2 linked regions of the Danio rerio genome follow. The protein of the gene in region 2 purifies or fractionates together with the protein of the main gene of each other region. This does not show direct contact. Links are inferred from orthologs where the notes say so. Each region holds a gene or a part of one and is shown on either strand. Other genes may lie near its edges.

Region 1 (6,369 bases), on a different chromosome or scaffold from region 2:
CAACAGTACGAGGAAGCGCAGGCGTCTTACAAATCTGCGGTGTGAGGACATTTCGGTTTTCCCGATAAGTATAATGCCAATAAAAGAAAAAACGGTGACAAAAAATAACTGTGAAAGCATTGTTTTACACGTATAACCATGACTGCACATCTGCTGCACCATCACCCAGCAATATCACTGTATGAAGGCAGGATAGCAGAGAAGGTAATAAAGTCCTCCAAATAGCAACAGTCCCTCGCTGAATCTTTCAAGCCAACATACCCAACTGGTTCCGAGAGACGCATATAAATAACAAAGGCAGTGCGGGTGTTTATTGCTAAAGATTTGTAGTCGTTTATGGTGATGGGAGATGTGGGCTTTTGTCATCATATAAAAGCACTCGATCCATGTTACAGATTACAGTCTCGCATTTTTCAGCATCGAGATAATTAAGATGGTTTATTTATGTTTACTTAAGTACAAATATGTTTATTTGAAATGGCCAATTTATCTTTATTACTTCCCATGTATGTTTATTTTCAAAGTGTAGGATTTTATGTGTTCCCCAGTTTGTACATGGGCTACCAGCAGCTGTCAGATTTCAGTGTTCATTTTTTTATTCAATACACCAGGAACTACTGTACTTTTTTTGGCTTTTAAGTAAAACAAAATGAGTTTTGCAAAAAATCTTTTTTATTTTTTTCTCCTTTACCTCTTACTGTTCCTATTGCCTGTAGAATAAAAAAACGTGTTAAGCCATGAGAACCAAACCGAACCGAAAACAGTGTTAAAAAACCGAGGTATGTATTGAACCGTGGGCTAACTGTATTGTTGCATCCCTAATATATATATATATATATATATATATATATATATATATATATATTAGTAGTATAATCTGTATTAGGGATGCAACGATTAGCTGGTTTCACTATTAACCGGGATTTAATTAGTCACGTATGGGCTTCTCAACACTGCATTTCTGCACGGAACAAGACTGCAGCAACTTGTTATGGCAACTGTGCACTTGTTTGTACATTAAGGCTAATAAGCAGTGCACTCTACTCACTATGACTGGGGCTATTAACTAAGGCAAGCTCGTCCAAGTTAGTTTTTTTCAATGGAGGGACGCGCACGCAACACAACACACTCGTGCTTTTCAGGTGCACCTAGTTGAGATGACAGGGGGCTTTTGTGACCGTGGGAATTGCAAACGGCTAACGGTTTAAGGAAGAAGCACTGGAAAGGACACAGATTGGCAAACCCACTTAAAGTTACAAATAATGGCGTTGTGGAGAGCAATCATGTGGCGAATCCCCAGCTGGGATCAACTGAATGTTTTTAAAGACAGTGGTGAAAGACTCAAGCCTGTTTCACACCGCAGGCATGACCAGAGAGTGTTTTTTTTCGCATCCATGTTAACAGATTAGAGCTTTCATACTGCATGCAGAAGCAGTGCGTCAACACGAGGCATGAGCATCATGCAAGCAGTCGTGGTTTCGCCGCTGGGTCTATTTTACCGGTGCATTGATAATGACCAAAAACACATTGAATGAGCAGTTTTACCAAATAATGCATCAATAATATCCACTGAATTTTTTATATGCACTTAAATAAAATTAAACGATTAAACCAGCAACAAATATTTAGTTGGGCACAATATATAAAACAAAATTTAAAACCGTTTTAAACTATTTATAAACTAATGGGGTTTTGGGATCAATGAATGCAAATAATCATGATAAACGTGATTATTTCTAATACTATAATCGTACAACCAAAATTTATAATCGTTGCGCCCTAATCGGTATTATCAAAAATATAATTCTGCCAATATCACATTTACACACCATTTCCACATCCAACTAGAAAGGCTTTATTTATTTCAATAGAAAAATAGTCATTTGAAATCAGTTATCACAAACACCGTTAACCAAAGCCATAATTTTATGTCCATTTCTAATCTGGCAAGATTGATGCAGAATATATTCTGTGTGCACGTACGTGTCTGTGTTACAGATTCTCAAGACCTTATAGTCCATTGTTCAGGATTGGCACTTGTCAAAACTGAAGGTTTCCGAAGAGCGATGGTAACGTGTTAGGCTTGGGGTGGGGTTTGTATCCAATTCTCTCGTGAATCATCTGCTCTCTGGTTTTCCCATCAGCAGTGCCACCTGCCGCTCCGCTCATCTCACTGGATGTGGCGACACCGACGACATCCACCTCATCCCTCTGTTTCTTCCGACTCTTAACACATGTGGGGAAAGTAACATGAGATTATAGAAAGCTTCTTACTTTCTGTAAGATTTGCTTACATGCTTGCTTTTAAATGAGAAAAAGAATGATGAAGAAATCACACTATTACTGACTGATTTGCAGTGGTGGACTAAGAATTTTTGCTTTATTTTAATTAAGTAGGGGAGAGCAGGGACTAAAGTATCATTTTCATAACCTAATAATATCATTATCATAACTTAATCATAATTGATAATGTTTTTAGCAGAAATATATTTTCGCTGTGGTTACTAACACATAACTGTAGTCTATCAAAATCAGCTGTAGAACAACTCCAATACAACTTTACTTTTGATGCTACAAAAAAGCTGGTTGATGCAACATTTATGTTGATATTGGACTACGCTGATGTTATCTATATGTATGCTTCGTCTTCTAGTCTGCATGCACTGGACACTGTTTACCATGCTGCACTAAGATTTATAACTAATTTTACTGCTTTGTCCATTTGTAGGCTCAAGCACTAGCGTATCTCTGTTTACATTTCTATATTGGGTTTACTCCCATCAAATTTATAGAATTACATTCGGGAAAATCCTGTCCTCGGACGAAGCAGTCGCACCAGACCTAGTGCTGTCGCCTCACAGCAAGAAGGTCGCTGGTTCGAACCATGGTTCAGTTGGCGTTTCTGTGTGGAGTTTGCATGTTCTCCCTGCATTCGCGTGGGTTCCCTCCGGGTGCTCCGGTTTCCCCCACAGTCCAAAGACATGCAGTACAGATAAATTGGGTTGTGTTTAGGGGTAGGGGGATAGAATCTACTGTTTGTACAGTAGAACCATCATTAAGGGGTCTATGAGAGTCCCCACTGGGATGAAGGAACATGTCTTTATGTGTGTACAGTAAATTGAAGCAACTATTTATGACACATGTTTAAGACACGATGACAAGTCCAAAATTTTACCTCCAGCTCTTTCTTGACACTTTCAAACTCCTCCGTGTCGTCCAGCTTGAGCTCGAGGCGCGTTGGTTTCCTCCTCAGCATCTTCACATCACCGGCTTCTCGTTGCCTGGAAACACGTTACACGCGCTGCTTAAGTTAATTTACACACTTATTAACGTTAACGTTACATATATAATGTATGTTCATTAGAAATCGATGGGTTAACCTAGTTGAGTTGTGGTAGTTCTATTCAACTCTTCATATATATTTTGACTCTGAGAAAGCTCAAATGCTATGTTTTAAGGAACCTAACGTTGCAAAAGCCCATGATTGCAGTATTATATCTGCATACACAGTACACTTTACTTGAACGTTTACCGTCGTGTTGTGTATTTCGTAATTTCAAGAAATTCAGCGACGCCTGCTTCAACACCATAACGTTATTGTTTAGCAGCTACATGCTAATTAGCCTAGTAGCTCTAAATTCTGGGTCTTAAACAGTGACAAACGTCAGGATAATGAACCGTGAAGATCGTTTATTTTAGTAAGCTTGGCAAACTATTGACAAACAATTCTAAACTGAAAGAAGATGACTATTTCAGCTCACATCACTTACCGTAATCATTCACGCTTTAGACCGTAGAAAGAGCAGAAGGAATCATGGGAAATGTAGTTTAAGCGTGAAGGGAGAAAAAAGGGATAAACGTGTGTGTTTTTTCTGTTTTTATATTTTTTCAAGTTTTAAATTGATAATCGCATTAGTTGAATTATTCTTTCACTGTCTATTTAAGGGCATAGACGGTTGAAATGTTCATTAACCTTAGTTTTTTTCTTCAAGTTTTTGATCGATTTATTTAGTTAAACCTTTAAAACTAAATGTACAAAACTTGTTGTTTTAGAACGGTCCGTGTACGTTTTGTTCATTTGTTTTCCATTTTCAAACGGAATAAAGGAAATGGAGAAAACGGCCGTTTTTCCTTTTGCTCACGAGAAAACGAAAAAACGAGATTTTGGCTGGATTTTCGTTTTTTGGTTTAGGGTAGGAAAACGGATAAACGACTTTAAAATTCATTTTACACATGTAGGCGGTGCTGAAACGCCCACTTTCCTCTAATTGGTCAACCAAATCTGCGCTCGTGACGTCACCCTCAAAATAAAAGCCTTACACGCAGGCTTTTAATTATTATTATTTAATTATATATTAACTAAGTTTACATATTCTATCATTTGAACCACACACAGTTAGCAGGCTTACATTCATTGCGTATGTATAAATTAAATAAAAACGTAAAGCAGTATTCTTAGACATTTGTCATTAAAATAAGGTCATAGTTCACTGCCAAGCTTCTTGCTGCTGTGCACCTGATGCAGAGCAAAGATAGCCATTTCCGAGGAGCACCTGGTTTACATGATTGTTTCATAACAATCTTTATAATAATATAATAGGGCTTTATAATAATAATAATTATTATTATTATTAATATCAGTTACTAGTGTTTTTATTGTTTGGTGTGTTTTTTTTCTTTTTAATAGTTGTTAGCAGAACCAGAATAAGAACACTTTGGGCCCTGCTATAAAAACAAAGGGTACCATTTGTTTTCATTTACTTCTTCCTATTTTAATTATATATTGTAATTATTTTTTTGATAATTAATACTATTTTATTGCAACGCCAAAGTAGGCCTGTCTTATTATTTTTTTCTATTATTAAATTTGCTGTTATTGTAGGCTAGATGGCAGGCTTTAAATATTTTAAATAACATTTACTCATAACCTTACTAATTCGAGAGCCGAACCTAAAAAAGTTTAAGTGCAATAAGCCTGTACAATAAAGGGAGCCGCAATGCAAATTTCTAGCGCATTCTTTCACTCAACAATTATTGCTGGAATAATGAAATGAATTTTAAATTAACTAATTAAACACATTATAGTTGATAAAAAAAATTGTGTCTAGTAGTTCCGACAAACAGATGAGCTCCCCACCCAGCAATAGTTCGTCGAATAGACGTCGAAAAGACGACATTGTCAGACGTCCAAACAACGTGGAAAACAGGTGGGAAAGTGAAAGACGAAACTACGTCTTTTTAACGTCGTCGAAAAGACGTAATTGTAAGGCGTCCAAACAACGTGGAAAACAGGTGGAAAAGTGAAACGTGAAAAGACGTCTTTTTCATGTCGTCCAAAAGACGTAATTGTAAGACGTCCAAACAACGAAAAATACGTCAATTTTAAGTCGAAATTTGGTTGTGAGAAATACCTTTATAAACGTTTTAGAAAATTCACATGATTCAGAAATTCAACATTTTGTTTAAAAAATATTATTTATTAGCCTAATATTTGCAGACAAAAGTAATGACAAAACATGTATTAGTCAATTTAACATTAACAACAACAAAAGCATCAGATAGTTTTTCCGCTCTGCGTCTGCCACCGCCAGACCGTACAGGTGATCTCTCACGGCCCTGTAAATTCCGTGGCTGTTGTGTCGCAGTTTGGCTGCACCTGCTATAACAAAGAAAAACTCTGTTTTAGTTGATATAATGCACATCCTTATGTGTTATTTTAAGAAAATTAACGTGACATTCAAATAATAAATGCTATTTTGACTGCATGCTACACACGTTTTTGTTTAAGAACACATTTCAGTTATTTAACCATACTTTTTATTGTAATATTATTTATTTTTATGAAATGGACAGAGATGGCAAAAATACACACATCCTACTCAAAAAAAAGTGATACTGATGCTTAAAACAACTCTGGTAAAAGTTAAAGTAGCCTACTGACTGCACTTTTGTAGTCAAATATGGCCTCAAACACGTGATAAAAAAAGTTTCTATTACTACCTGTTTTTCACGCTGGTAACTAGACTCACATCCAGGCCCGGCGCCAGGAATCAGAACTGAGGGGGCATTTTAAATCCATAGGGGGGCACTAAACCTGGTGGCTGATTTTGGTCTCTCTAGTTCCTTTCATTTAGGCTATTTATTCACATTTATTATTACTTCACTTTGTTACAGACCTAAGGCAGTATTATACGTTTTAATAGTAATATTAATATGCACAGTGTCGCTATTACTGATTTTATTAATGATGGTATTGCAACGATACCGCTTATTAATGCAGACGGATCATGGCTTCAGTGCCAAACGAGTGCTTTAAATCATATTTTATTCTCCTTATTTATTTCAATTTTATGTCAAATAGCAGGCATA
Region 2 (6,195 bases):
AATCATCATTTCCTGATAAACTGGTCCCAAATATAAAAACAAAAAATGGATTTGGCTGCAGTAGGAGAAGCCTTTTTCCCTTATAAAATGAAGTATTTGTACCTCAGAAGATGAAATGCAATGAACGCACAGTGGCTTTTGGAGGCGTGAGACGCTCTTTGGGAGTGCAGACGCACAAGACTAGGTCTGCATAATATATCGTTTCAGCAGTAATATCTCAATCTGCACATCGGCAATGTTGAGTTGGGATTATAGTGATATGAATTCAAGTTCAGCAGATGGCTTGAATAGCTCTTTTCGTAAGAAAGTTGTTCAATTAGATTGATTGGGATGATTCTCTAAGGAAGGAATAAAGACAAAAGTGAAATAATCAGTGCTTTATGGTGATAAAATTACACGGTTTAGTCATCCCTGTATAAATAATTCAATTAAATACATTTTACATACGATTTCTTGTGGTGGAATAAAATGTAATTTGTAATTATAATCCATTGGATGATGCAACGGCAGCCGAAAGCTACGGCACTAGTGCGCTTACCACACACCAGCTATTGGTGGAGTGGAGAGACAGTGATAGAGCCAATTGAGACAATTTGGCCAGGACACCGGGGTTACACCCCTACTCTTTACGAGAAGTGCCATGGGATTTTTAATGACCACAGAGAGTCAGGACCCCCTTTTAACGTCTCATCTGAAAGATAATTGCTTTAAAATGTCCTAAAATGATCACACAGCAGTCAGTTACTCCATTGTGGTTAAACTCTGCAGTGACTCCACAAATCTGATCGGATCTATTTTAGACTGTGGTTCCTAGATAGCAATGCATATCACAGAAAAACTAAATATCAGTTTTTCCCCAGTATTGTGCAGCCCTATTCATTCATTCATTCATTCATTCATTTTCTTGTCGGCTTAGTCCCTTTATTAATCTGGGGTCGGCACAGTGGAATGAACCGCCAACTTATCCAGCAAGTTTTTACGCAGCGGATGCCCTTCCAGCCGCAACCCATCTCTGGGAAACATCCACACACACATTCACACACACACTCATACACTACGGACAATTTAGCCTACCCAATTCACCTGTACTGCATGTCTTTGGACTGTGGGGGAAACCGGAGCACCCGGAGGAAACCCACGCGAAGGCAGGGAGAACATGCAAACTCCACACAGAAACACCAACTGAGCCAAGGTTCGAACCAGTGACCCAGCAACCTTCTTGCTGTGAGGCGACAGCACTACCTACTGCGCCACTGCCTCTCCCCCAGCCATATTCTAGTTCTTTCAATTTAATTCTATTTATTTGTATAGTGCTTATCAAAATAATTACTGTTCCAAAGCCGCTTTTAAACGGTGCACATTAATGCATTACAATCAAAATCAGTAATTAGTTCCTACGATTATTAGTTCTGGAGGAATATGTAGAGGTATAATGAAAATAAAATGGGAAAATATGATACACCAGTGTTTTGTATGAAAAAACTGTCTTAACACTGTTTTTATCTGTTTATATTATTTGTTTTGTTGGTTTTATTATTTTTTATTCCTGTTTATGTAAAGCACTTTGAACTGCCACTGTGTATGAAATGGGCTATAAAAATAAAATTGCCTTGCCTAAGACAATGATAATTCTGAACCACAGTGATGACAGACTTTGGCTGAGGGATTTCAGAATGACCAAAACAATGTTTCAGATGTTCTACAATGTGCTCGCTCCACTGGTTTGACCATTAATGCCTCACACCTTAATACATCACACCCATTTTTAAGATCATAAATGTGTTTCCATCAAAGCTTTTGCTCGTATTTGGTTATCGAATAAAAAGTTGATCCTACTTAGTAGTGTGCATGCATACATTTTCTTTCATACGCATTTTCAAAATGTATGCACATCTAATGGTTTCCATTAAGCATTTTATTTAAAAGATTTATTATTGGCCTTTTTGCCTTTATTAGATAAGACAGTAATCAGACTGGAAGTGCAGTGGGGGAGAGAGGGGGGTTGTTGTGGAGGGGGTTGAGGTTCGGGAAATGTCCTTGAGCCGTGATTTGAACTCTGGACAGCCTGAAGTGCTACCGCACCATAGATCATCGCGCGAACCACTAGGCTATTGCCCCAACATTAATCTTTTTTTAATGCAATATGTCAAATGTGCAAAAAAAAAAAAAAACAGGTGGATGGAAACATGGTTATTGAATTCAGGACAGTCATAGAAGGTAATTTAATACTCTCTGACAGCACACTGAAGCTCATCAGACCTGGAGATGGCGCTGGTTTCCGTCCACAGCTGCTCGATGCAGAGGTCTGGTAAGATGGGCTCCATCTCAGGCAGCAGGGTGTCATTCAGGGTGCTGTTGGGTGAAGCCAGGATGCTGTGGCCACGCGAAGATGGCGTGTGGCATGACATGTTGAAACGCTGATTCCCAGAGAACGAGGGCACGGCGATGCCAGGGGAATGAGCACGACTTTAGAAAGTCAGGCAAATAAAAATGTTTAAAAAGAAAAAGGAAAAAAATGAGACATTTAAATTTAGATATTTTTACGACATAACATAATATAACAATATAATAAAACATAACATAATTTAACAACATAATATAACAATATAATAAAATATAATATAATATAACAATATAACATAATATAACAATATAATAAAACATAACATAATATAACAATATAACATAATAACCATATAATAAAACATAACATAATATAACAATATAACATAATATAACAAAATAATATAACATAACATAATACAATAACATAATAAAATAAAAAGTATAATACATTATAATATAAGGTAAAATAATATAACATAATATACTGTAATCTAATATAATCTAATATAATCTAATATAATATAATATAATATAATATAATATAATATAATATAATATAATATAATATAATATAATACAATATAATTAGTGCTGTCAAATTAAGTGCGTTAACGCATGCAAATAATTTGAAATATTTAACGTAATTAACACAGTTGCAGTTTTTTTCCTGTTGTGGTCGAAGTGTGTTCAACATGCAAAGAAATATGAATAAGACCAAGGAAGCACTTACCAGGCTAGTCAGCGTTTCCTCCAGAGTTTCATCTAATATCCTATGTTTCATTTTTAACTTTCGACTTTTGTTTTAATGGAATTTGATACCACATGGTGAACGGAAATAAAAACCTCCGCATTTCACCCTTTAAGGTTATCAAAAATTGCTGTTTACATGGTAGACTTCTAATAAGAGTTCTAACTTAGTCATATTAAAATCGGAATATTGGTGTCCATGTAAAGGTACTTAGAAAGGGCCAGATGATGTTGCAAGCTGTCAAAGTCAGCGCATTCCTTTTCCTTTCAGCATGAGCCCTCCAATGTTTCATTAAGTTTTTCCCACTTTAACACAAGTTTTGTAAAGCGTCTGCTTCACGTTGATGTGTCAGAATCCTTATGAAATACAGCCATACTTTAGAACGCTTAGTTTAAGCAAATTTGATGAACGCGATCATGTGCGTTGAATCTGAAGGGAGTCGCTCCGGCTGCGCTGTCCTGCGCACGTTTTGTGTGTGTGTGTGTGTGTGTGTCACAGCAAAGCGCGCACAACGCGTACCTGTTTGTCCCTTTGATGTAGGCTAACGCTTGATGCTTCTTACGTCCTTTTCGCAGCACCAGTGGTCACAAAATTAGGTACCGAATGCATATGCTGATTCAGTAATCCTGCCTGTTCTCACTCTCGGCTCACATCATTCAAAACAAAAGGGCCACATTGTCCCCCGATAATGTCAACAGACTGGACTGTCTCAGCAACAGGCTGAATGTAAAGGAGGACTAAGCTAAATTGTTTCTGCTTAATAATAAATGTTCTCAACACACAGCAATACAACTTTTCAATGAGTGCAACTGTTTGTATTCAATACTTTATTATTATTACAATTTTCTATATTTGCAAAGCCTGTGTTTTGACATTTTCTGCAGTTCACTTTGAATCCAACATGGAAATCATTTTTGTTTGTTATTGCCATTGTTTTTCAATTCAAATGGCATTAACATGCCTGAGTTTTTATTTCTGTAATAAATATGGCACTCAAGCCAGAATCTTGATGGTTTATTGTGGGTATGTTGAAGAAATCGGTGTTACAAAATAAACAAAAATTCTAATGAACAATTATAGTTTGAATTTAAATAGTTTTTGTCTTGCGTTTACATTAATTTTACATTTGAAAAAATTCAAAATTATAGCCAAAATTATAACTTTCGGTCTTTTAAATGTGATTAATTGCGATTAATTGCAAAAAAAAAAAAAAGTGTGATTAATTAGTTTTTTGTTTTAGTTTTGCACTAAATATGTTATAATATAATATAACATAAAATAATATAATATAATTAACATAAAAAATATATAAAATAATATAATATAATATAATATAATATAATATAATATAATATAATATAATATAATATAATATAATATAATATATGAAATAATATAATACAATATTATACAATATATGATGATGTAAAATAAAATAATATAACATAATATAACATAATATAGTATAACATAACATAACATAACATAATATAATATAATATAATAAAAAACAATTGTGCTGCTTTATATTTTTCATATTCTTTGATTTATGATTATATATTTTTTCAATAAAATTTTTGAATTGCGATTTCTGTGCACAATATGTAAAAAAACACCATTCATAGCCAATATTGATGCATTGTCATACCTGAGAGCAGCCATGTTGGAAATGCTGGGCGAGTGAACCCGAGAGTGCAGGGCCGGGGAGGCTGGGATTCGGCTTTGGTTGTGAAGAGCATGGCAGTGTAAAGGTGAAGCCGGAGAGTCCAGCCGGTTCACGTTTCTCAGGTGTGTGCTGAGGAAACTGGGAGCCGCATTAGGAGTGTGAGCCGGTCCAGACTGATCTGGAAACTTTAACACAGTGTTCTGCTCCTGAAATAAAACACACACACAGGGCTTTAGGCTCCAAACAAGTCTAGGAGTGTGTCTCAATCAGCACTCTTGTTTAGTAGTCAGCGCACTGATGAGGGAGTCAGCCGTTTTAACTGCTGTCTCAATCAGAAAATTCGTTCAGTGTCCTGAGAAGTCCCACAATGCATTGCAACTCTAAACATTGAAAACATTTCACAAAAACTTATATTGCACACTAAACACAATATCTGGAAACTTTGGAAGTTCCGATGATTTGTTGGTTGGCATCTGTCATTGCAATGTGAATTGGGCTGAAGACTGCATTAAACGTACCTCAGATGTGACTTTGCGCAGATTCCAGACGGTGTGTGTGCACTGCTGTGTGTCGTAGGTCATGATAATGGAGGGTTTGAGGCAGGTGAACACCACTCTCAGAGCGCTGTCTGAAACATACTGGAGCCGGGTTTCAAACAGACCTGCACCAATGAGTGAGAGCAACAAGAGCATTGACAAATGACACATCGGCCCCGTTTACATTAGTTAAGATTGTCAAACATTGAATAAAACAGGCATTTTAGGGATCTGTTCTTTCAGCTTTGAACAACAATACATATATTTTCTGCACAGGTTATCCAAGATTTTAGTAAATTATTGAATTTAAAAGGTTTTGCATTAAGAATGCAGCTGGCTTTATATACACTACCTGACAAAAGGCGTGTCGCTTGTCCAAGTTTTAGGAACAACAAATAATAACTTGACTATTCTTATTCTATCTGATCATTTGGTATCAAAAGTGGCTTAAATGAAAGGTAAAGGCCTCTAGATTACGCTTATTTACCAAAATTAAATATGATCATGTCTTGATTTTTAATGATTTCATTAGGGCAGTAAGGTCTGACTTTGCTTAGACAAAAGTCTTGTCACTGAACAGAAATAATGTCCAGTATAGAATATAAAGTCATGCTGCAGTGGAGACAGAATGATTATTGTGTCTGACTCCATCATGAGATTGGAGGACTGCATCCATACATCTCTGCAATGACTCAAATCACTGATTAATAAAGTCATCTGGAATGGCAAAGAAAGCGTTCCTGCAGGACTCCCAGAGTTCATCAAGATTATTTAGATTAATCTTCAATGCCTCCTTCATCTTACCCCAGACATGCTCAATAATGTTCATGTCTGGTGACTGGGCTGGCCAATCCTGGAGCACCTTGACCTTCTTTGCTTTCAGGAGCTTTGATGTGGAG

The links. Proteins that work in one complex are often made in the same cells at the same time.
Region 1: the proteins of anapc1 (region 2) and cdc26 purify together in Homo sapiens (co-immunoprecipitation; 6 studies listed by BioGRID and IntAct, with this or other methods). This does not show direct contact. The link is inferred for Danio rerio from reciprocal best matches to the Homo sapiens genes ANAPC1 and CDC26.

Annotation. Positions count from the first base shown.
Region 1 is NC_133180.1:62,619,461-62,625,829, forward strand, and holds cdc26 (anaphase-promoting complex subunit CDC26), read right to left. Parts: upstream 3,831-6,369; 5' UTR 3,771-3,830; intron 3,282-3,770; 5' UTR 3,257-3,281; coding exon 3,176-3,256; intron 2,227-3,175; coding exon 2,041-2,226; 3' UTR 1,832-2,040; downstream 1-1,831. UniProt on the Homo sapiens protein: Component of the anaphase promoting complex/cyclosome (APC/C), a cell cycle-regulated E3 ubiquitin ligase that controls progression through mitosis and the G1 phase of the cell cycle.
Region 2 is NC_133188.1:50,722,663-50,728,857, reverse strand, and holds part of anapc1 (anaphase-promoting complex subunit 1), read right to left. Parts: intron 5,422-6,195; coding exon 5,279-5,421; intron 4,967-5,278; coding exon 4,743-4,966; intron 2,467-4,742; coding exon 2,260-2,466; intron 1-2,259. UniProt on the Homo sapiens protein: Component of the anaphase promoting complex/cyclosome (APC/C), a cell cycle-regulated E3 ubiquitin ligase that controls progression through mitosis and the G1 phase of the cell cycle.